Lonchura striata: one gene and its partners. The protein of the gene in region 3 interacts with the protein of the main gene of each other region in a biochemical or structural test. Links are inferred from orthologs where the notes say so. Each region holds a gene or a part of one and is shown on either strand. Other genes may lie near its edges.

The links.
Region 1: the proteins of cadherin-1 (region 3) and JUP form a complex in vitro, tested with the Homo sapiens proteins (2 studies listed by BioGRID). The link is inferred for Lonchura striata from reciprocal best matches to the Homo sapiens genes CDH1 and JUP.
Region 2: the proteins of cadherin-1 (region 3) and CTNND1 form a complex in vitro, tested with the Homo sapiens proteins (5 studies listed by BioGRID and IntAct, with this or other methods). The link is inferred for Lonchura striata from reciprocal best matches to the Homo sapiens genes CDH1 and CTNND1.

Annotation. Positions count from the first base shown.
Region 1 is NC_134627.1:6,608,716-6,615,961, reverse strand, and holds the start of JUP (junction plakoglobin), read right to left. Parts: upstream 3,066-7,246; 5' UTR 2,999-3,065; exon of another isoform or gene 2,923-2,998; intron 2,785-2,922; exon of another isoform or gene 2,679-2,784; intron 1-2,678. Other genes in the region: P3H4 (endoplasmic reticulum protein SC65), read right to left, coding at 6,360-6,370, 6,461-6,602, 6,777-6,863, 6,944-7,089, 7,192-7,246. UniProt on the Homo sapiens protein: Common junctional plaque protein. The membrane-associated plaques are architectural elements in an important strategic position to influence the arrangement and function of both the cytoskeleton and the cells within the tissue.
Region 2 is NC_134608.1:53,102,717-53,110,771, forward strand, and holds the start of CTNND1 (catenin delta-1), read right to left. Parts: upstream 3,050-8,055; 5' UTR 2,984-3,049; intron 1-2,983. UniProt on the Homo sapiens protein: Key regulator of cell-cell adhesion that associates with and regulates the cell adhesion properties of both C-, E- and N-cadherins, being critical for their surface stability.
Region 3 is NC_134615.1:22,960,281-22,967,588, reverse strand, and holds the start of cadherin-1, read right to left. Parts: upstream 3,091-7,308; 5' UTR 3,006-3,090; coding exon 2,949-3,005; intron 2,835-2,948; coding exon 2,720-2,834; intron 1-2,719. Other genes in the region: B-cadherin-like, read right to left, coding at 4,253-4,465, 4,554-4,697, 4,775-4,905, 5,004-5,222, 5,326-5,550, 5,859-6,001, 6,084-6,328, 6,414-6,599 and 3 more.

The DNA of each region.
Region 1 (7,246 bases), on a different chromosome or scaffold from region 3:
GACACCCCACGGGACTAAGTCTGACCACCCACCCCAGCCCTGGGTGATGCTGGGTGCCCACACACCCTGTCTAGGTGGGGAAGCAGCACCTGAACTCAGAGGTAGACTTGTACTGCTGTAACAGACACTACATTTCTTTTTAACTTCTGTTAATTAGAAGCCAGTATAATTTAAACCTTCAAAACCAGCACAAGCGTCGGTACAGATGCTGCAATTAAAGTTCTGCAAGTTCTCTGTGCAGAGGCTCTGCTCCCCCAGCCTGCGGAGCGGGGCCAAGGGCAGCTTCGCTCCCAGGCTCTGCCATCTGCGAGCGGCAGCGCGCCCGGCAAAAGCGCCGTCTGAAATCCCGGAGATCTGGAAGTGTGATAAAAAGCCAAATCCCATCAAGCGCTCCCACAGCAAACCACAGTCTTGAAGGGAAGCCGTCCTCCCGGGAACGGGCTGAGCTGCAGGAGCCGTGCAGCTGTACCGCAGCGCCTGCCCGGCCGCGAGGGCTGAGTAAGGGTTTCAGGTGGGGGAAAACAAAGGGGTGAGTTAATGGGATTAGGGCAGCGCCGAATGATACACTGAAATGCGGCACCAGGAGCAGCGGGGACATCCCCCACGGCCCCCGGCTGCAGCCCGGCCACGACTCACCCGCGCTGCCCCGGAGGCTCCAGGCACGGTGGCACAAACTACTCGCACACCCAGCCCCAGGAGACCCCTCCCAGCAGCCCAGCTCGTCCCCCCCACCCCCTCCCGGGGATGAACGCGCTTCCTGGAGCCGGCAAGGACACGGCACACCGCCCAGACAATAGGCTGTAACGCCATTGTCTGAGGGAGGGCCCCGCACGGCCGCCCCACCTTTCCCCAGCGCCCTGAGCCCCGGGGACCCACGTCTGTCCCTGCTCCCGCACAGCGGCCACAGTGCAAGGAGGGAGCACAATCCTCAGCCACCGCTGCCAGGAGCCCTGTGCGTCCCCGTCCTGATGGCCAACTTGTTTAAGCCAAATTAGCAGTAAAAAATGGGTTTTTCATGACACCTCATGGAAATCCTCCAAAACAATGAGCGATAACAGGCTTCAGATGTGCAAACGCAGTCCCAGTGGGTGCCCTGCACCCTTCCAGCCAGCTCCGACACCGACAAGGACACAGAAATGGACCCCTATAATTTTCTCATCCCTGTTTCCGGCTGGGCCGGACACTCCGGGAGCGGAGCCTGGAGCAGCCCCCGCGGACACTGCACCTGCCCTGGATGCGGCTGAGAGCCCGGAGCAAACGCCCCCGGCAGCGCTGCAGCCCCATCCCCGCGGCAGCTGGCAGGGACACGCTGCGCCCCCGGCTCCCCACCAGCGCATCCAGACGGACACCAGAGCCGCTCGGGGCTGGCACCAGCGCCAAAACCAGCACGACGTGGGCTGGAGCAGGAGGTGAAGCGACTGAGGGGCTGTGTCACAGGGTGTCCCCAGCCCCCACCACCCTTCTGGGATGGGGAAGTTGACAAGAGAACGTGAAACCAGACACAGGACTCACCCAGGCACCCCAACAGCGTTACAGGGAAGCTGGGGGTGCAGGAACTTCCAGCCTGGCTGGAGAGGGTGAAGGCTGATGCCCTCACACTCGGGCAGGCACAACAGTGGCACAGGTCACCCTGTCCCGTCTCCAGCAGCAGCCGTGCCCTCCTGAGCGTTCACGCTCCTCTCCCGGCATACATCGCCCCACGTTGCTCATATGGCAGCCCACGTTTGCCTTCTCCGGGCAACTCCCAGCAACATTTCAGCATTATCCTTTCATCTGTGCTATAAACCTGATTAATTAAGCTAATGCTAATCACTCAGCTAACGCAATTAGAGCGCTCTCTCCTCTCTAAACATCAGACAAACAGCCAAGTTTCACTCCCCCCGCCGTTTCGCGGTGCGGATGTCCCTGGCAGGAGCTCAGCTGGGACCCCCGTGAGCCCTGTGCCCAGCACCCCTCACCCGCGGGGGGCTGTCTTGGGTGATGTCAGGTCACCCTGACGCCCTGTGAGCCCTGTGCCCAGCACCCCTCACCCGCGGGGGGCTGTCTTGGGTGATGTCAGGTCACCCGCATCCCTCTCAGCCCCCAGACATCCCACGCCAGGTGGCGGGCGGAGGGCAGCCCCGGCCCCGCGGGTAGGGACGGCGATGTCGAAGCGATCCGAGGCGGCCTCGAGAGCAGCACGCGGTGTCCCCAGGTGTGACTCTGGGCACGGAGCAGTCCAGTTTGCGTAAGAGCCCCACAGCACCGGGCGAGCGCCGTGCCAGGGCCTCGCCCGCTCCGCGGCAGCTCCGGGCGGGGCCGGGGACAGAGTCACCGCCTCGCACAGGAGCGCGGATCCGCGACTCCCAAACTGGATCCCGCGGCACCGGGAAGGGGCCGGGACAGCCCAGCTGGGCATGGGGGAAGCCCCGGGGACCCGCCCTGCCGGTGCCGCGCAGGACCGGCCGAGCTCACGGGCAGCACACGGCCAGCTCTGCCCCAGACGACGGCAGCGGGGCCGAGCCGGGACGCCCGGTGCTGCCCGGCCCGGACCCAACTCCTCCCCGCCCCGAGAGCGGCCGCTCCCCAGCGCCGCACGGCGGAGTCCCCGCCGCTCCGGTGCAGCCCAGCCCGGAACGACGGACGGCGACGGACGGCCGCGGACCTGGCGCCGTCCCGGCCGCCCCAACTCTGCTCACCGGACCGCTCCCCGCCGCGACCTCCGCCAGCCCGGTCCTGCGGACCCGGAGTGACCTCTGCCCGGTTCAGCCGGCCTATTGCCGGTCACCGCCGCTCCCCCACGCCCGACGCGCCCTGACTCGGCTCCACTCACCGTCGCTCCCCATGCCCAGTGCCCCGCCCCGCTCACCGTCGCTCCCCGTGCCCGACGCGCCAGTCCCGCTCACCGCCGCTGCCCGTGCCCGGCGCCCCGGTCCCACTCACCGTCCTTCCGTGCGCGATGCCTCGGCCCCACTCACCGTCCCTCCCCGCCCGTGCCCGGTGCCCCGGCCCCGCTCACCGTCGCTCTCCGCCGCCCGCCCGCTCCTGCCCGAACAAAAGGCGAGCGGCGCCCCGCGCGCCGCCCCGCCCGCCGCAGGCCCCGCCCCCGCGCCGCCCCTCCGCCATTGGATGCTCCGCACGCCCATCAAGCACTGGGCCCGCCGGGCCCCGCCCCCGCCGGACGTGTTTATTCTTTCCCCATTGGCGGGGGCGCGGACGCCCCGCCCCCTGCCCGCAGCTGATTGGACAGCGGGGCGGGGTGGGCGGGGCGAGACCACGAGGGGACCACCTGGGTGACGTCAGTGGGCGCGGCCAGGTGGGGCCGGGACCCGCCCCTGAGGGCCGGGGGCGCGGGGACCCCCGGGCCGTGCTGGGATCCCCGGATCCTGCGGGGACCCCCGGCCCGTGCTGGGACCCCCGGGCCGTGCTGGGAACCCCCGAGCCGTGCGGGAACCCCCGAGCCGTGCGGAGACCCCCGAGCCGTGCGGGGACCCCCGGGCCGCGCGGCGACCCCCGGCCCATACTGGGACCCCCGGGCTGTGCGGGGACCCCCGAGGCGCGCGGGGAACCCCGGCCCATGCTGGGACCCCCGGGCTGTGCGGATACCCCGGGGCCGTGCGGGGACCCCTCGAGGCAGGAGCGCGGGGGCGACAGGAAGCGGCGTTCGGGAAGGGCTCGGGGCTGCTGGCGCCGCGTCAGCCCGGTCCCCGCCGGACCGGTCCAGCCGGGTGCTGCTGCCGCGTCCCGGGCTAAGCCGCCGTCACCCAGTGCCCGAGTCATCCATTGGACACGTCCCAGCCCAGCTCAGGACCCCCAGGTGTGGGGGAGCAGGAGGATTCTGCCCCGGTGAGGATGAGGAGGGAGCATCGTGCACCCCCGCTGCCTGCACGGTTCCCTGCTACGTCTGGCAGCGAGCGCTGCCAGGCGGGGATTCTCAGCTCCGGAGGAAGGTGAGAGACAGAGCTTCCACCGCCTCTGCAAGAAGAAGGGAATTCATGGCTGTGCGCTGAGCGGGAGATCCGGAGCGCAGCGAGAGAGCTCTCGGCACAGGGAAATGGGCACACGGCACGGCACGGCAGGGCACAGCGCAGGGGAGGCGGCAGCAGACATCTCATCCACGCTCCCCTCTTGGTCAAGGTCGAGGGGACCGCGATGATGCCTTCACCAAGTAACCAACCCATCGCTCCCTGCAGCCCTTCTCCTGCAGCCCAGGACTCCTCCGTGTCCCCCGTCAGTCACCCCGCATCCCATCTCTGCGCCCCTGGCACTGCCCGCAGCTCGGCAGGACAGGACGGTGGCCGTGCCCACGGTCACAGCCACGCCAGGTCACAGCGGCACTGCCAGAGATGCTGCTCCTGCCTGGCACTCCCGGGGTGATGGATGCAGCCATCCAGCACATCCTGCACATCCAGCGGCTCAGGTGGGAGCAGGGAAGGGACCCCGGGCACTCCAGCTCGCAGCTGCAAGGGGCTTTGCCCGGTGCCAGTAGATCAGTGGGAGCAGGGAGCTGTTTTCTCCTCGTGAGTGTGGGGCTGGGGAGGGTGCCCGGGTGTGTGTCAGAGCAGGGCGGAGGCCCCGTGGGCCCAGTGCCACCCTCGCCCAGCTGTTGGGAAGATCCGCAGCCTTTGTCCCCTAGGCTGCGGTGCCAGCCCTGGGCTGAGCGCTCTCCGCTCCTCCGTTCGCGAGTGCCGCTGGCCACACCCCACCCGGCTGGCACTCCCCTCCCGAGGTGGCTGTGCCCCATCGGTGACAAACCCAGCTCCTCCCAAGTGACAGCACAGCCCTGTGAGGTGCAGGGTGCAGTGGGTGCTCCCTCCCAGCACTGCCTCCCCGAGCCCTGAGCTTTGCTCACGGGTCTGGGGGCTCAGCCCCTGCCCCCCGCCCAGTGCCCTGCAGAGCTGGAAAAGCCTCGGTGAACAGGGGCTCCGGGCAGGGCAGGGTGGGGTGCTGGCAGCCTCTTGCCACTCTCTTCCTTCCATTCCCATCCCTTCCCTCCCCCGGGGCCAACGCTGTGATTCAGCCTCTCAGTTTCAGTCCTCGTAGCCAATTTCCACGCCGAGCAACCCGGCAGGGAGGAGTGAGCGGCCACACACTGCCCGATGCCTCGTGCCTAGGACTGGCACAGGTTTGTCAGCACCAACAGAGACCCCCAGTGTGCCCCCAAACACCCTGATGCAGGCAGGAGGAAGTCATCCCACCCTGCCATGCCCACCTTCATCGGGGGATCCAGGCTGCACCCTCTGATCCAGGAGCAGTGTCACAGTGTTGTACCCCAAAACAACCATCAGCTCATGGATATGACATCCCAAAGACCCATATGGGGTAGGACATGCTGCCCTCCAGCCCCCTGCAGCTCCCCCCCCACCTCACCTGACAGACTCAATGAGGGGGTCATGGATCCCATTTGGGGTCCCCCTCATGGGACCCAGAGCCTCACAGGAGCCTGGCTGCTGTCATGGCCTCCATGGGCCCCCAGCCCCACAAGTTCCCCCAGGTCATCTCTGGGGACATCCAGGCCTGAACCGATCTCTTCCTCTCTCACAGCAGAGCCTCTCCTACCCTGGTCTCCTGGATCCCATGGCAGCAGCATATGGAAAGTGGAGGCAGCCGTGAAAAGACCAGTCTGGATTTTATTAAAAGTTCAGCACCAGTAAATATATAAAAAGAGCAACGGTGCAGGAGGGAAAATCTTAAATTAATTGAGCTTAAGGCTAGAGAGGGCTGGTGTGGCAAAAATTCAAGGCACAGGCAGGGCATGGGCACCACAGCCTCACCAGGCTGCAGCCCCATGGTGACACGGGGACATGGCACACTGGGAGCCCCCTGTAGCACCAGGCCAGGGAGTCCAAGGGGACCTGGGCTATGGGAGCTGTCAGATTGCCTGGGAGGCTGGAGAACAGGAGCCTCAGGGAGCCTCAGGAAGGGGCAGGATCAGCTCCAGCAGCATTGTGCATTGCTCCCGAAGTAGGGGCAGCCCTTCAAGCCCCTCAAGAAAAGATAGGGATAAATTCTGGTGCATCATCCAGAGATTCTGGGGAGCAGCTGAGGGACACAGAAAACCCCAGTGCTGTGGGGCATCACTGCTGGTCAGGGCTCCTGCGGAATTGGGGGTGGGGGTAGCCCAGGCTCCTGGGCAGGCAGGGACATTCAGGGATGCTGGTGTTCCACTGATGGGAATTGGGCTGTGCCAGGACAGCAGACATCCAGGTGGCAAAAGCAGTCCTGCCGCAGGATGCAAGGCAGGATTGGCCCCTCCCCATGAGTTTGAGTTTCTACCGGTGGCTGGGAGGAGCTTGAAGCCCGATGTCCCCAAGATGGCATCACAGAGTCACCACCATCCAGCTCAGTTGGTGCTGCTGGCTCCCCCTTCACCTGGCTCATCATAGGATCTCTGCAAACAAGGAGAGTTTGGTGGCACCAGGGGTGTGGGCAGCAGACCCCCCGACCCTACAGCACAACTCCCAGCCTTTGTATCAGGAACCTTGGTCATCTTTGTCTCCTTTGGTCTTGGGTTCCTGCCACCACTCTGCGAAGAAGCCCTCCTCGTAGTCACCTTCGCCCTCGAATTCGCCATCGGAGGGCAGGTCCAGCACCTCTGGCCCCTCACCACCATCCACCTCCATCTGCAGCACAGGAGGGCAGGAGGAGGCAGAGGAGCTCGGCAGCCTCATCTGCAGTCTCTGCTCCAGGACTGCTTTGGGGGGGTCAGACCCCCCCCATCTGCGAAAGGTCCCTGCAGCACCCACACACACCACCCAGCCCCCCCAAAAGCACCATCTGCATCCCGTGTCAGGTACCTCATCGTCATCATCCTGCAGGTACTGCCGGGCGAATTCCAGCATCTCCTTCTGGGCGGCCGTCTGGCTGTGGTAGCGCACGGCTTCCTGGGCACAGGGGCAGAGGGGCTGGGTCAGCTCCTCTCTGGGCAGTGCAGGGCCACAGGACGGGGCTGGGGGGTCCTCACCGGCCGTGGCTCGAAGTCCTCCTCGCGCAGGCGCCAGCGCTCGCGGTGGAAGCGGTAGTAGACCAGGTTCTGCTGCATCACGGTGTCGCCAGGGTCGAAGAGCATGTAGCTGGAGACGCTGCGCACCGCGTCCTGCACGTCGTTCACTGCGGGGACAGCGCCAGCTGACACGGGGGTGACACCCCTCCCAGGGCCACAGCAACCCAGGGTGCCCCAGGGCACAGCCCCCCGCTCCCACCGGCACTCACGCTTGTAGTAAGCGAACTGCAGGTAGTGGTACATGGTGGCCACAAACTTCTCCAC
Region 2 (8,055 bases), on a different chromosome or scaffold from region 3:
CCCCAACAGGCTGAAGGCACACAAGAACACAACAAAGCCCATTAATCCAGAGGTCAGGCCCCACATGCAGCAGTCACTGGACAGGGCAGAGGGACAGGCACTCCTGTGCCAAACCAACACCAGCAGCCTTCCTGGAGGGAAGGAAGGCGGATTAGCAACAAGCACAAGACAGGCGGGAGCTGGACAGACTCATCAGCCTGCTGCTGGGGGTTTCCAGGACAAGAACTTGCTCTAAGAAGCCATTTCCTCCCCCAAAAAGCCTCCTTGGATTATATAAAGCAAAGAGAAGGTTGTGGCCACCTCAGAGAAATCGAGGACTTTGGTCGAGAGCCCGTCAATCCAACCCCTTTCTGACAGCCTAGCACTGAGGCACATTCCTGAACTCTGTGCCAGAGGACAACCTCCTCCGCTGGCCAAGCCCTGTGTCACACACAGAGGAGTGCCTGAATTGCCCAGGTTCGGGTTTTGTCATCAAATCCAGGCAACACCTGTTGTCTCCTATTGACCCAAACCAGCTCCAGGTTCCGCTTCTCCCCGTCAGCAAAGCAGGGACAGGACACAGCCACAGTGCTGCAGAGACACAAATGTTCAGAGCCAGGAGAGCTCTGTACTTCCCTGGAGACAGCATCACCACAGTCTTGGGAAAGGGCTCTGTCCTTGCCAGCAGTAAATGAGAGACAGTTTTGAGGGGTTGTTGGGAAGAGAAACCAAGAGCTTTACCCAGCACTTTCCCCCTAAGGCCATAGACACTGGTAAGTTATTTTGAGAAGCCAACAGCCTTCCAGGCATGATCCAAGCCACACTATTATTTTCTGGGTGTCCTAAAGCCACCTCCACTGCAGATACAATGGGCCAAGGTCTTATCTCCATGCCAGAGGCCGGAGGAGGGAAGAAATGAGAGGCAATCCAGGGACAGACACCGGCTCTGCGGTCTGGGCTGGACCATTCATCTGACTCCCAGCCCATCTTTAGGGAAGGGATGGCCTCAAGGGCTCCTCAACCACAACGATCAGGCCCTGACCTCTGCGTCGGAAGGGAGGAGGCTCAGCCCTCTGTGGCAGTCCAGGCAAGCCTGCATGCTCCACTGAGCGAGCGCTTTCATCCTCCCACTGCTTCCAGGAAGGTTCCGCACGAGATTCCAGCAATGCTGCACACGGCAAAGGACAGTCAACGGCACACTCAAGAGTCCAGCCAAACTCAACCAAGTGGAAGAACAAATCCTTAAAAACTGCCTTTATGCTGTTGACAGAGCATGAGCAAACACCAGCAGGTGAAGAACCTGCCTCAAGAAAGCCCTGGGAGCAGGATGGAGCAGACAAGGTAACTCTGGGGAAGACAACTAACAATTTTCCTGCCTAGGCTCTTGCCACTGACCTGCTGGACATGGCCCCGGCTCCATTGGCAGGAGCTCCAGCAGAGGCAGGAGCCTGGGAGTCACCAGCCAGCTGTTGACCCTACCTTGCCACATCCAGGAGAGAGGGCATGGAAGCTGAAACTCCAAACAGAAGCTGCGAGCATGGCTTACAGGATCCCAGCACACCTGCAAAGCTGAGGACAAGCTCAATTCTCCACACCAAAGACCTGGACAGTCAAGTCCAAAAGCATCTGTGCAGTGCAGGGAGGGCATCAGTGAAACTACAGGTAGCTGCAGTTCAATACAATCACATGACTCCATGTGCCCAGATGTTCTTCTCTGGCTCACCGGGAGCTGGGAAGAAGCCTGGGAGAGGAGCCTCCAGCTCCAGCTGGTCACAGGACAGCCCAGGCCCCCAAAATAACACCCTGTGAGCCCCATCATCACTGGCTCCCTGGAAGGGCAAGGGCACCAAGCCCTTGGGGAGAGAGGGAGGCACTTCAGGAGGTCCACTGCTCTCTCCAACAATCAGAGGAAGCTTTGTTGTCCAGGCTCCCTCGCCCAAAGCCCAGGGCCATAACGGAGGTGCCCCACCTCCCTTCTGCCAGCGCGCGGGTGCCTCGCAGATGCCAGCAGCCCTCATGACTGAGAGGCACGCAAACTTTCTCACCCCAAGCAAAGTCTCTTCTCTGCAACGCTCCGAAGAGGCATAGGAACGCCCACCGTGCAGGGGAAAGCGATGCCGGGGGACGGTCACCGGAGAAGGCAGGACGAGCGCTGGACAGGGGGAGGCAGCCGGGCTGTCGCTAAATGACAGTGTGGCCAAGGCAGACTCAGAACGAACCGGCGGCTGAGCAGACCCCCGAGGTCGGCTCCGGCACCGTCCTGCCTCTCGGAAAGCACTTCGGAGTCGCTTGTGAGCTCGGGTGGACGGGCCTGTCGGGCTGTTTTGAAGCTCAGAGCGATTCCATTAGGAGGAGCCGCAGCCCCACCCGCACACTTGACCCCCCCGGGCACACCGGCCCCTTCCCCGGCAGAACAAAGGCGCAGGCGAACGACACACCGGGCGAGGAGCCCCTGCGGAGAGCGGCAGAGCCGAACTGGGCGGCGGGACGCGGAGTCGGAAAGCCGGACCGTGCCTCGGCCGAGACCCCGCGGAGGGACCCAGCCCCGCTCCCCGCCCGAGGGCGGGGGGGCCCGCCGGTGCCGGCCGCGGGAAGCTGGCACACGGGCCGCCTTTGTTCCGGGCAGGGCGAGCGGCGGCGGCCCCGGGCGGGGAGCGGGGCGGCCGCCCGGCCCAGCCGCCTTTGTGTCGCTCCCCGCGGGCTCCCGGGCGCCGCCAGCGCCCCCGCCAGGGCCGGGCCCCGCCGCCCCACCGGTCCCGCGGGGCGCGGCCGCGCTTGGCACGGGTTCCCGGGCAGGACGGGACTCTAGGGACCCGGTACCTACCGGCCCCGGCAGGAGAGCGCGGCCAAGCCCCGATCCGGCCCCGCCGGGCGAGGACCGGCCCGTCCCGCCCCGCCGCCGCCGCGGGGGCGTGCGGCGCCCGGCAGGCGCCGGCCCGCACCGGCTCTGCTCCCTCCCCTCTGCCCCCTGAGCGGCGGCACGGACGCCGCGATCGGGACTCACCGTGGCCGGGCTCCTCGGCGGACGGGCGAGGGCAGGCGGTCCCGCCCCGCGGCGGCGGCGGCACGGCCGCCCGGCCCGCTCCGCTCCGCGGGTCCCGCCGCGGCGGCGAGGCGAGAGGCGAGGCGGGCGCCCGGTGCGGCGGCGGCGCGGGTCAGGCCGGGTCCCGCCGGGCGGCGCGGGGCGGTGTGTGCGGAGCGCGGCGTCGGTCGGGTCCCGCCGTGCGCCCGCGCCGCTCCCGCACCTAAAATGGAAGTTGGTCCGGCGGGCGGGGCGGGGCGGGCGCGGGGCCGCCCCCGGCGTCAGCAGCCGCGACAAGGACGGGCGGGACCGGGGCGGGGCCGGGGCGGATGTCCCGGTGGGGTCTGGCCGGAGGACGGTGTGTTCTCCGCGTGCTCCATCCTGGTGGGATGTGCCCCAGCGGTGCATGTTCTCCAAACCGGGGTCTGCCCTCAGATGGGCTCCACCTCGGGACCATGGCGCCCGGGAGCAGACCAGCTCCTCCTCAAGGTCCGGGTCTGCCCCGGCGTGGTGCACCAAGGGGCTCTCTGGGACACCCCCGGAGTAGAGCCTCCTCCGGCCGGTCCCTCTGGAGCGGCGGGAAACCAGCTTACCCTGTACAGGGCAGAACTTGCCCAGAAGGGAGATTCCCTGGCAGGATGGGCTGCACTACGTCCCCGGGAGGTTAACCCGTTCCCTCCCTCTGGCCCTAGGGAGCAGGTGCTGGTGGGACTCCAGCCACAGCTCATCCTCTGTGGTGGAGGGTTTCCCCTTCCCGGAGAGGCAAGGAAGTAACGCCAGGCCAGCCCCACGGCGTGTTCCGGGCTGCTCACCTGGGAGAAGTCCAAGTCCCCCGAAGGTGTCTGACCGGGGAGAACCCTGCCTGCTCCTGTCTGCCTAACTCTCAGTGAGATAATGATAGAGGAAAAGAGCTGGGGACGGTTTTGGGTGGGACAGGTGATTCCTGGGGTAAATATGCACTGGGAGGCAGGGAAGATGTGATAACAGCCTGCGGATGGAGGTGTGAAGGAGGTGATCCAGAGCTCTGTACGGATTGCTAAAGGTGGTGCAGAAAGGTGTAATGAGGTGAAATGGGATTTGATGCATAAAAAGGGAACATCTAGGGAGATGATCGGGGCATGGGGACCCCCAAACCCTCCCTGATGTTTGGTTTGTAAAATAGACCATCCAACCAGCTGGGAGCAGATGGAGAGCTGGTCCACATGTCCCAGGGAGGAGAGGGTCTCTCCATTCCACAGCAAGTGAGTGAGACCTTCTCTCTGCATCCCTTCATCCTTGTTGTCACCCAAAATGAGCAAACTGGATCCCCTCTCAGCCTTGTACCTTGAGTGAGAACAGCTCCCAGATTAGAAATAATCCCCATCTGCCCTCCCTTCCTCTTGGCCCACCACAAGGAGGAAGGTGAGTGTATTCCCTGAGTCTCAGAGACAAGGAAGGAGAAGAGGTGCTCTCAAAATTCCTTCTGGGAGAAAGAGTCCTCGTTCACCTGACACCTCCCAAGGGGCAGCTCTCCCTCAGGGAAAAGGCATCAGAAACACCTTGCTCCTCCATCCCAGCACCAATGACATGTCCTTTGAGGCCTCTGCCCGGGCAGTTGGGGCAGCAGGGGCTCGGAGGTTCATGCATGGTCCTGGCCCAGTCACACCCTCCCTATGCCCTCTTCAAAGGCTAAAGGTGCTCTTACAAACACGACTCTGACGCTGGGCAAGTGCCTCCTGTCCCCAGGATGGAGCTGCACAGGGCTTATCCAGGCTGGCCCTGCCCCAGCCCTGCCCTGACAGCTGGAACACCCGGTAGCACATGCTTACTTTGGAAGGCAGGCTGGACCCTGATCCTTCAGCTTCAGCTGGAGGATCATGCTCTTGTTTGACTATAACTCCTGGGGCAGAGGAGCCTGTCTCACTGCGTTCTGGGAAGAAGAGAGATGTGTTCCTAGCATGGGAAAGTTTCCCCTCTTTTACAGTAATTGCTTGTAATAACATCTTGCACATCCCCTTTCATCCTACAGCTGATGCCTTTCCCAGATGAGACGCCCAGAAGTGCAGCTGCCACCGGAACAGAGCAAGACAATTTGTTTACAAGGCAGGCCCGTGCTCTCGGCGGCCGAGGGCAGGAGGAAGGGGAGGCTGCTGGCTCCAGGTCCACGCAGGCAGCTCAGGGGATGGCCTGCATTGTTCCAGGTCAGGATAACAAGGCCCTTCCGCAGCCCCTTTCCTATGGGAATCCTGACGGGTTGTTGGCCCTCCTTGCACGAGGGGAAGTGCGGCACCAGGAGGGGGGAGAAGGAGGGAAGCGGGCCTGAAGGAGCTTTCCAGCTCCAATTGGAAGATGCCAGGCCACAGAGCAAGCCTAGAGCCCACCCTGCCACCTTCCCAGTGCAGCTCCATGTGCTTGGTGTTGTCCCTGCTTCCCACCAGCCTCCCACTGTGCTTGGGCTCTCTCATGCCCACAGACCATCCTGCTTTCAGCCTAGCTGCATCCTGTCATGCCCTCAGACTGTCAAATTCCTGGTACATCTTTTGCCCAAATGTACACGTGACTTAAGCATGCACAGAAATCTCCTTCCCCCCCAGCCCCACAAGGATCTATTGCCACTTACAGTCTCTTTCTTCTCTCCTTTCTCAGTGCCTTTCCCAGCCTCAGATCTTGCCTTCATCCATCCCTTTTGCCACTGTGCAGGGTCCAAGGTCCCTCTGGAGAGCAGGGACTCTGAGGCAGGTCCTGCCCTGCAACACAGGCAAAGGCGACATAGCTGAAAATGATCCCGGCTATGAGAATTGAGAAGGGAATTTCCTTTCTCTTCCAGAAACTGGCTCAGAAACTGCTGATTTGAGGGCTTGGGAGACACTGTAAAGACAAGATTTGTCCTGTGAGGAGGCCTCCTATCAATAGCAGAGGGAGCCTGAACAGGCAGCACAGTTTAGGCCTTGCCCTCACTTTGCAGTCAATCCCACCAGGAGATAAACCCTGCTGGACATTCCCAACCCTCTGAGTCACCCAGGGTTTCGACCAGCCAAGGGCCAAGGACACCAGCTGTGCTGCAGGTCTGCAGCCTCTGATCACCTGAAGATAGACAGAAAGATTCAGGGTCTGACACGATTTACAGTGAAAACTGCAATCCCATACTTTCCCCCAGGAAAATCTGGTAGAAGAAATGGAGTTTAGAGAGAGGGGTGAATGGGACAAAAGGCTGCTGGTGATTTTTCTACTCTGTGTTATTTGGCTTTGGATACTAGTAAAAATGACACTCATAAAAGGCCTCTTTTGTGTACCTGCAAAGGGAGTGGTTGCTCGGTTGCCAGTTGAGTATCAGTGAATTTTAAGGGCAGACGAGGCCACTGGTGGTGGGGGGGGAGCAGCGCTGCAGCTGTCGGGGTACAGTGGAGTGGGGGCTTTCCCTAACAGGGTTACTGCTGAAACATTAACCCCCCTGCTTGCTGGAATGTGGCTGCCCCCTGTCCCACTGTGGTCCCACTCACTGTCACAGGGCACTCCATGGCATCTGGATCCATGCACTCCCAGTGAGGTCAGGCTTTCCAGGCGACAGCTCCGATCATTGTAATTCCACAGGATTGCAAGGGGTGGGGGAGGAAACATCTCTATTTTCCTTCTATTTTTATGAGCATATGATAGCACTTTGATATGAAATTACTTGTTTTCTGCATCCCTTGGTATTCCGGGCTGGGCTCCAAGCCACCCGGGGGCAGTGACAGACTGCCAGTGACCTCAAAGGCCTCTGGCTCAGGCCTGGCACCAGCCACTTTCTTCATTGGTTTGTGTCCATTTTGCAAAAACGGAGAAGAAAAACCACCCTCACATGTCCAACCAGATGAAAATCCCTCTGCAAGACCACATTTGAAGACTTTGTAGATTTAAACTCTACGGCGACATTCAGGCTCCTGTCCTTCTGCAGCTCCTGAAACTTCCACCCACTTGGGTTGTTTGTAGGAACAGCCACTGTCTCCAGGCAATGGGGATGGATTATAATCTTTGCTCATGTGTGTGGAGTGACTGACGCAGATTTTTGTACAATGGGTGCTTTATAACGTGGCAAAAAACTTTCAAACTAAGTGGGCAGCATCGCTTGCTTGAAGGATGCCTTCCAAAGCACCATCAATCCTCCCCTTCAGGAGCCTGGGGCACAAAAACACCCTTCCTCACACGCGAGGGCCCAGTGGAGTCTGAAAATCCAAACCAAGGTGGAGCCCTTGAACCCAGAGCTGCTCCAGACAGCAGATGCTCCAGACAGCACCTTCCCCATTATCAACCCCGTGTTCTTCAGTGCCACCGCTGCAGTGACCATAAGCGGCCCTGGCCTGGCTGTCGTGTCCGGGCCCGATGGTGATGAGGGAGGGACGAGCACCACCACAGGCGGCGGCGGCACCCAGGCTGCCCTCAGCGCGGCCGCCATCGCACCACAAAACACGAGCGGTGCCTCCGGCCCTGGGCAGAGCAGGGCACGGCGGCTGGGGAGGGCTGCGGAAGGGGTCGGGCACGGCAGGCGGGGCGGCGCCGAGCCCCGCTCCCAGCGCTCGCGGCGCCGCCCCGGCCGGGCCGCTCCCGCCGCGCCGCCACAATGGGTGGGGCGAGGCCGCCGCACCACGTGAGGCCGCGGGCGCGAGGCGAGGGCGCGCAGGGCCCCGGTCCCGGTCCCCGCTGCCCGCGGCCGCGCTGCGAGCTCCGGACTCACCCCCGGGGCGATTCGGCGGCGGCCCGAGCGCCCCTCGGCAGGTACGCGGCCTCAGGGCGCCGGCTGTGGCGCCCCCTGGCGGACGCGGGAGGCCGGGGCGGCGGGGCCGGGGCGGGGTCCGGCGGCCACCGGGGGGACAGCACTGGGGCACGGGCACACGGGCCTCTGCAGACCCCGGCCCTGCCACATCCCAGCCACAAGCCATTGGGATAGCGCGAAGAGAGCAGGCAGGCGCTGGTCCCCGAGTCCCCAGCACGACGCTGTCTGTCCCTGCAGGACGGCCATGGGCTCTCCCGCAGCCAGCCGGCAGCTGCTGTACCGCAGCACCCGCCTGCTGCGCACGGCCTTCCAGCACCTCTACCAG
Region 3 (7,308 bases):
ACTGGCACCAGTGTCCTGGCAGTCAGGCCCCTCAGCCTGCCCAGGTAGCTCTGGGACCCCCAATCTCAGGTTCAGCGGGCAGGCGGGGCCCGATGTCACTAGCTGGGCACCCGGCTGGGCGCGGCAGAGCTGGGCCGCCACGAGGCAGCGGTCAGCGGGCATCACATGAGCCGGGCCGCGCTCCCGAACAAACAGCCTTTGTCTGGGAGAGGGTTGTGCGAGCCAGCGGCACCCAGGCCCCGGAGCCAGCCCTGGCACCGCCGCCCCGGCTGACCCGCGCCCCGGCAGGGGCCGTGCCGGGGTGGGCAAGGAGGCACCGCCGGACGGAGGGAAGGGAACGGAGCCGTGGGTTACATCAGCCCACGAGCAGCCCAGGAATGCGGGCTGGCTGCGGGATGCAAGGGGGTACGATCGCTGCCCCCCTGCCCACCACGGTGCCCCCGAGCCGGCCCGGGAGGAGCCGCCGGTGCGATGCCAGCCCCGCGGCAGGACCCCCGGGCAGGGCGGGCGGAGCCGGTGCGGCCGGCTGGGCAGGAGCGTGCCGGGGCAGGCGGGGAAGGAGAGGCAGCCGCGGGCGCAGCCCCAGCGCTCGGCCTGGCTCGGGGCCCGGTGGGTGCAGGAGGGGCGGCACGGGGCCCCCAGCCCCACACTGCGTGCAGTGAGCGCTCAGTGCTCAGCTCGCACTGGCTTCCAGGAGGGTGCTCAGAACCCGCTCCCCCCTTCCCGCTCTCCCCCTCCAACTCCCCCCCTTCCCACCTGGCTGTGCACAACCTGTTTTTCCAGCTCGGCTGAAGGAGGGCTGGCCCCAGCCCTCCTCTCCCCGGGGCTGCGAGCTGGGGGGGTGGAAGGGGGGCCCTCTCCTGGGAATGATGGGGGTGGGAGAAAAGAAGAACTCAAGAGAGTCCTTCAGGGGGATCCCCCCACTTCAAGGGGGATCCCCCCCCCACTACCATCTACAGAACACTGGGACAACCAGACTGGTACAACCAGGCTGCCAAACTGGGTGTGGGGCTGAGACCCCACACAGGGGATCAGGGCAGGCCCCCAAAGCCACCTCATGTCCTGTGAGGTCTCAGTGGGACTGGGCACAGGCAGAGCAGGGTGTCCCCATCCATCCCTGCAGTGCCACCACCCCGTGTGTTGCACACATGCAGCTGTACAGGGCAGGGGGCTCACCCCAGGGTGAAGGTGCTGCGGGTGACACATCCCACTGACGTCACCCCAGTTTCGCTGTGACTTCAGACTCTCGAGGTTTCTCCACCCAGGATTGAGGGGCACTATCCCAGCCCCCACCACATGCCCACCACCCCAGAGCCCCCCGACCCACGGAGCAGGGCCCTGGCGGTGCCGCAGCCCCCACGCAGGTGTTGCTGTTCGCCGCCCAGGCGCCGCGTGGGGCTTGTCTGGGCCTGTTGGAGGGAAAACACAGTTCTCAACTCATCAAGCTAATTACAGGCCGGATCGTCAGCCTGGCTGCAAGCTTTGGGGTGCTCCATGGCCCAGCACGGCCTGGCATCCACCAGGCTCAGCCACCCCACAGGTGGCATTACTGTGGCACAGCTGTGAATCACTGGGTGCCACACAGGCCTCAAGGGCAGACGGTCCCTTCCTTCCTCCCACGCCCTGACTGTGCCCGGAACCCAAAGCTGAAAGTGCTGGTGCTGGGACAGAGGATTTCCAGCAGGTCTCGGTGCTGCAGGGAAGTCACAGGGCTGCCCGTCACCCCCCCCCCTCGTATCAGGCCCAGCCCTGATGGACATCAACTTGTGCACGTTAATGATCAACCACAAGGCAAACAAACACAATTCCTGGGGTATGGGGCAGGGTCCAATTCCTGGCTCTCCCAGGCGAAGCCATTACAGAGCTGAGGATGTTTGGGAGCCTGGGTGCAGCACTGGGTGCTCATTACCCCTCAGCCCTTTGCCCACCTGGCCACCCTGGCACACACACTGCAGTGCCAGCACCAGTCTCAGCCACGAACTGGTGCAGATGGTGACAACCACTGCACACAGCCCCAGAGCCCACGGAGTCTCTTTTGGGGGTCCCAGAGTGGCAGCAGATCCCCAGCACATGAGTCCCCAGTGCCCCCTTGCCATGCCAGAACAGGGCATTAATGCCAACACAGTGGGACACCAACATCCCCAAAAGCCCAGGAGCCCATCCTGGTGCCCATCCCCATGCCAAGAGCTGGCCTGGCGGCCTACACAGTGGGTCCAAAGCGGGGCTCACCATGGTGAACCCCGGGTGCCAGGCGAGGCACGGGGCAGGGCAGGCGCCTGCGTGCCCCACACCCCAGGCTGCCGGCCCCGACAGGTCTGCGGTGCCTGAGTCAGCGCCGCCCGCGCCGGCGCGCCCCGGGGAGCGGCTGCCGCGGCCCCCGCGCCACGGCACCGTCCCGCCGTGCCAGGACCCCCGACGGCTGCCTGCGCTGGGACCAGCAGTGTGGCCCCTCCGCTGCGTGTGGACACACCAGGCTCTGTCCCCCATGCCACCTGCCACCGCAGCGAGCCTGTCCCCACCGTCATGGCACTGTCCCCGCTGCCACAGCCCTGTCCCCACGGCCCCATCCCCGTGGCCGCGCCAGCACCACTCGGGCACGGAGACACGGCTTTATGTCCCCCACTGGCCGTCCCTGTCCCACACACCCCCCTGTACCCATAGTCCCGTCCTCATCCCACAGCCACCCTGTCCCCACACCCGGTTGTCCCCGTGTCCTTACCCCGTCCCAGTGCCCGTCCCGCCGCCACGCCGTCCCGCGGCACCGTCAGGGTGAAGGTCTCGGCGGCGAAGCCGGGCTGGCACGACGCTGCTCGCTGGCACAGCCGCTGCCCGCTCTGCCCGGAGAGATTCGTTAGCACCGGGCAGGGTCCCGAGCAAGGTCCCGCTGCCCCGGGCAGGGTCTCGGCGGGGTCCTAGGCGGGGTCCTGCCGCCCCATTCCGTGGCTCACCTGGAGCAGGAGCAAGAGGAGGCAGAGAGGGACGGAGCAGCCCGCCCGCCGCCCCATAGCCGGTGCCGGTTGGTGCCGGAGGGATCGGGCGCTGCCGCCGCGGAGTCGCAGGTGCGTCCGGTCCCCTCCCGATCCCTCCTCGCAGGTGTCGGCCCCGCCGAGAACCGCCCCGTCCCGCCCCGACGGGAGGCGGTCCCTCCCCGCCCGCACCCCCGTATTCCCGGTACCTATGACGCCCGGTACCCGGGAACCCCCCACGGTACCGGTGCGGTTCTCTCCCACGGTCCCCGGTACCGTGGTACCCCCAGTACCCCACCAGCCCCCGGTACCCTCTACACGCCTGGTGCTCTGCCCGTCCCAGGTACCCGCTGTTCCTCGAGCCTCTGATATTCCCAGCCCCAGCCACACAGCTCTCGTGCTTTCCATGCCTCTCCCGTCCAGGGTAGTGGGAGCAGGGGGTGTTGGTGGGTGACAGGAGCCAGGAGTACCCCAGGGTGCCCCCATGCCACGGCCCCAGATCCCAGCTCTGCAGCAGGGGACAAACATCGTACCCAGGGACCCCTCGGGCAGGAAGGGCCCCTCAGGATGCTGCAGTCCCTGACTTCCCCTATACCCCTCCATCCCCAAAGCTGGGGAAGGGGACCCCCATCCTGTGTCAGGACCTGATCCTGGAGCCAGTGGGAGACCCTCAGAGCTTAGGGTCCTGCCAAGGCCAGAGGCTGCTGTGCCCACCCATGCTAGCACCCATGGTCATCTCAGGGGGTTGGGGTAGCAGCAGGGCTGTGTCTGCCCAGGCCAGGAGAGATTTAGCACCAGCAATGCCCAATGCCACCAGTGTCACTCCCATGGACAGATTGGCAGTCAGTGCACTGCCCATACCCATCAACACCCCCTGGGGACGAAGACACCCCAGGACGGGGGGCACGGGCACTGGCCCTGCATGGCCAGTGATGCATGACGCTGCAGCTGTGCCAGAGGTTCCACACTGCAGTGGGCAAGGGAGGACAGGGCTGGAGCGGGGTCATTGCTGGGCTAGGGGCAGCACCGACCTCCAGGGCACAAAGTGACACAGACCCTGAAACATCTAAAAAAACCAAATCCTTTATTAAAACTGACCCGGCTCCCATCCCCTTGTCTGCAGCATCACACGCCATCATTCCATACCTTAAAAAATAGATAATAACCACAAAAATGCAGGCGAGGAGGTGAGGGGGCTGCGCTGGGGTGGGGAGGGGGCACGGCAGGGGGAACCCCCAAGGCACAGAAGCAGCAATAAGGCGGGGGCAGAGGCAGGCTGGGGGTCCCTAATCGTCCTCCTCGCCGCCGCCGTAGAGCTCGGCCAGCTTGCGGAAGCGGCCGCCCCAGTCGTTGAGGTAGTCGTAGTCCTGGTCGCCGTCGGAGGCGGAGGAGTTGAGGGAGCTGAGCGAGGTGGCCTCCGAGCCGCTGCCCTCGTAGTCGAACACCAGCAGCGAGTCGTAGGGGGGGGCCGTGGGGTCCGTGTCGGCCGCCTTCAGGTTCTGGGGGAACAGAGGGCTCAGCACCTGTGTCCCCTGCGCCGGTGAGGCAGGGACGTGTCACCCCCGAGGCTCCCGGGGCAGGACTCACCTCGTCGATGAAGTTCCCGATCTCGTCGGGGTTGGCGGGGCGAGGCCGGTACTGGGGGGCCGCCATGAGCGGGGGGGCCACATCATTGCGGATCACCTCGGGCCGGGCGTCCAGCCCCCGGTGCAGCTGCCGCAGGTCATAGTTCTGGGGACACACACACATGGAGAGGGGCACAGTCAGGTTGCTCACGCTGTCACCAGGTCCCTGACCCCCACACCCACCTGGTCCTCCTCGCCGCCACCTTCCTCCCCGTAGTAGAAGATGTTGTCCCTTGTGTCATCTTCAGGCAGCAGCAGCGGCTCCTTTGTCACCTTCCTCCTCCTCATGAAGAGCAGCAGCAGCAGCAGGATGACTGAGGGGCAGAGTGCCATCAGGAGGGACATGTGTCCCCCTCTGTGCCCAGAGCTGGGGTATCCCCGCAGCCCCAGGAGCCCCAGGATCTCCACTCACGCAGCAGGGCCAGCAGCGCGCCCAGGGTGGCGAGGACGAAGGGCAGGGCGGTGACAGGCTGGGACCTCTGGGGACAGCCCTGTGCCTGCCCCTCACAGGCGCAGACCCGTGCGGTGACAATGGTCACTTGGGCTCTGCCCGGCTGGTCCAGCAGCCGCAGGTACACACTGTAGGTGTCTGGCTCCAGCGGTGCCACCAGCTGCAGTGTCACTGTGTCACCTGCGTGGGATTGGGGGCTCACGGACAACGCACCAGGAATGCGGCCGTGGCACAGCTGCCTCTGCCGAGGACCCCCACAGTATGTTCAGCCCCCCTGCAATACCTGTGTCCCCCACCTCCACAGCCCAGCTGTCCCCCGAGCCGTGGGTGAGCTCGGCGCGGAAGGGGCCGGTGTTGGGGGGCAGGTCCCGGTCGGTGACGGTGAGGAGCTGGGGCTGGGGACTGCGCTGGCAGACTGTGATGTCCCGTGGCTCCGCCTCGGGGCCGTTGTCGTTCACATCGAGCAGGGTGAGGAGTAGCGTGCCCGTGCCCGTGGCCGGTGGTGAGCCTGGTGGGGACAGTTCTGGAGGGGGGATCCCAAACCCAGGGCTCTCATGGGGACATGGGTGACTAAGCAGGCATGGGGACAGGAGGAGCCTCAAAACCAAGGCTTTCCCAGGGACAGAGCCGCTGTGGGCAAGGGTGGGAACAGCAAGGAGTGATGCTGGAAGGGGCAGTCCCAAACCCAGGATCCTCAGGGAGCTGGGGTTCCCCGGGCAGGGTGGGGCCAGGCTGGAGTTGGGATGTGTTTCCTGGTGATGGCAGCACGTGTTCCTCACGCGGGAGGGGGAACAAGGGCCCTTTCATGTCCCTCACCATCATCCACGGCCAGCAGCACAGCTATGTAGGTGCTGTTCTTGACGAAGGGGGACTCGCGGTCCAGGTGGTCCCGTGCGGTCACCAGGCCATTCTCAGGGTGCACGGCCAGCCAGCCCGCCGGGTCGTGCCCCACCAGGTACCTGGGGGGCACAGGGAGCTGGTGCTAGGGCGAGGGGCAGCAGAGATCCCCCAAACCTCCACTCCAACCCTGTTCCCGCTCACTTGATCGTCTGGCCCTGTGCCTTGTCAGGGTCCTGGGCCATGCAGGCTGTGAGGGTCTGCCCCGGGGGCACATCCTCTGACACCGTGGCCAGCTGCACGGGTGGCACGAACTCCGGGGCCTCATTGACATCCTCTACAGTGACAGTCACCGTAGCAGTGGCCATCGGCAGCTTCACGACGAAGGGGACCTCGTTGGCCACTGCCACGTGGAGCACGAACTGCTGCTTGGCCTCATAGTCCAGACCCTGGCAGAGGGGGAGACACCGGCAGTGACAGTGGGACAGGCAGGACTCTCCGTGGGCAGCATGGGGGACATGGGATGACAAAGACCTTGGCAGTGCGGAGGATGCCCTCGTTGGTGGCGGGATCGGTGGTGATGGCAAAGGCACCCCCGTCGTTGCCGCGCAGGATGGAGTAGACGGCTCGCCACGCCGGCGTGCCGGGCTCGTCCAGGTCGGTGACAGCCAGCCGGGCCACCTCCTGCCCGGCCGCGTTCTCCGGCACGGCCGCCTCGTACTGCAGGTGAGGGGCATCATCAGCACCACGGCCCAGCGGGCACCAGGAGAATCACACCAGTGGGGGTGCCCACATTACCATTTTGGGGTCAAACTCGGGGGCATTGTCATTGACGTCGGCGATCTCGATGACAGCCAGCGCTGTGGTGGTCAGTCCCTCACCATCCAGGTCAGCTGCCTGCACGGTCAGTGTGTACTCCCGCACACGCTGTGGTGGACAGACAGACAGACAGACAGACAGACACTGTGTCAGTCCCTGCTTGGGGCTGGGACCCTGCCCCACAGTGCTGCAGAGCCCACCTCCCGGTCGAGGCCGCTGGCAATCACGCTGAGGGTGCCAGTGGCCCGGTTGACAGTGAACATTTGGGGATGGGGCTCCCGTGGCTCCTGGCTGAGGATGGAGTAGGCAATGACACCATTGTAGGTCTCCACTGCATCGTCCGCATCCGTGGCTGTCACCTGCATGATGGAGGTGCCTGGGGATGTGGGTGTGCAGGTAAGTGGGATGCTGGGGGGCACAGTGCCGAGGCTGTGCCCAAGGAATACGGCTGGTGGGATGCAGAGCTTCCCCAAGGCCCGGGGTCCTACCTGGCAGAGCTCCCTCTGGCACAGAGCCCCTGAACACCTCCTGTGTGAACTGGGGCTTGTTGTCATTCTGGTCCGTCACTGTCACGATGATCTCCATCGGCTCCTCCACGGGCTTCCCGTTC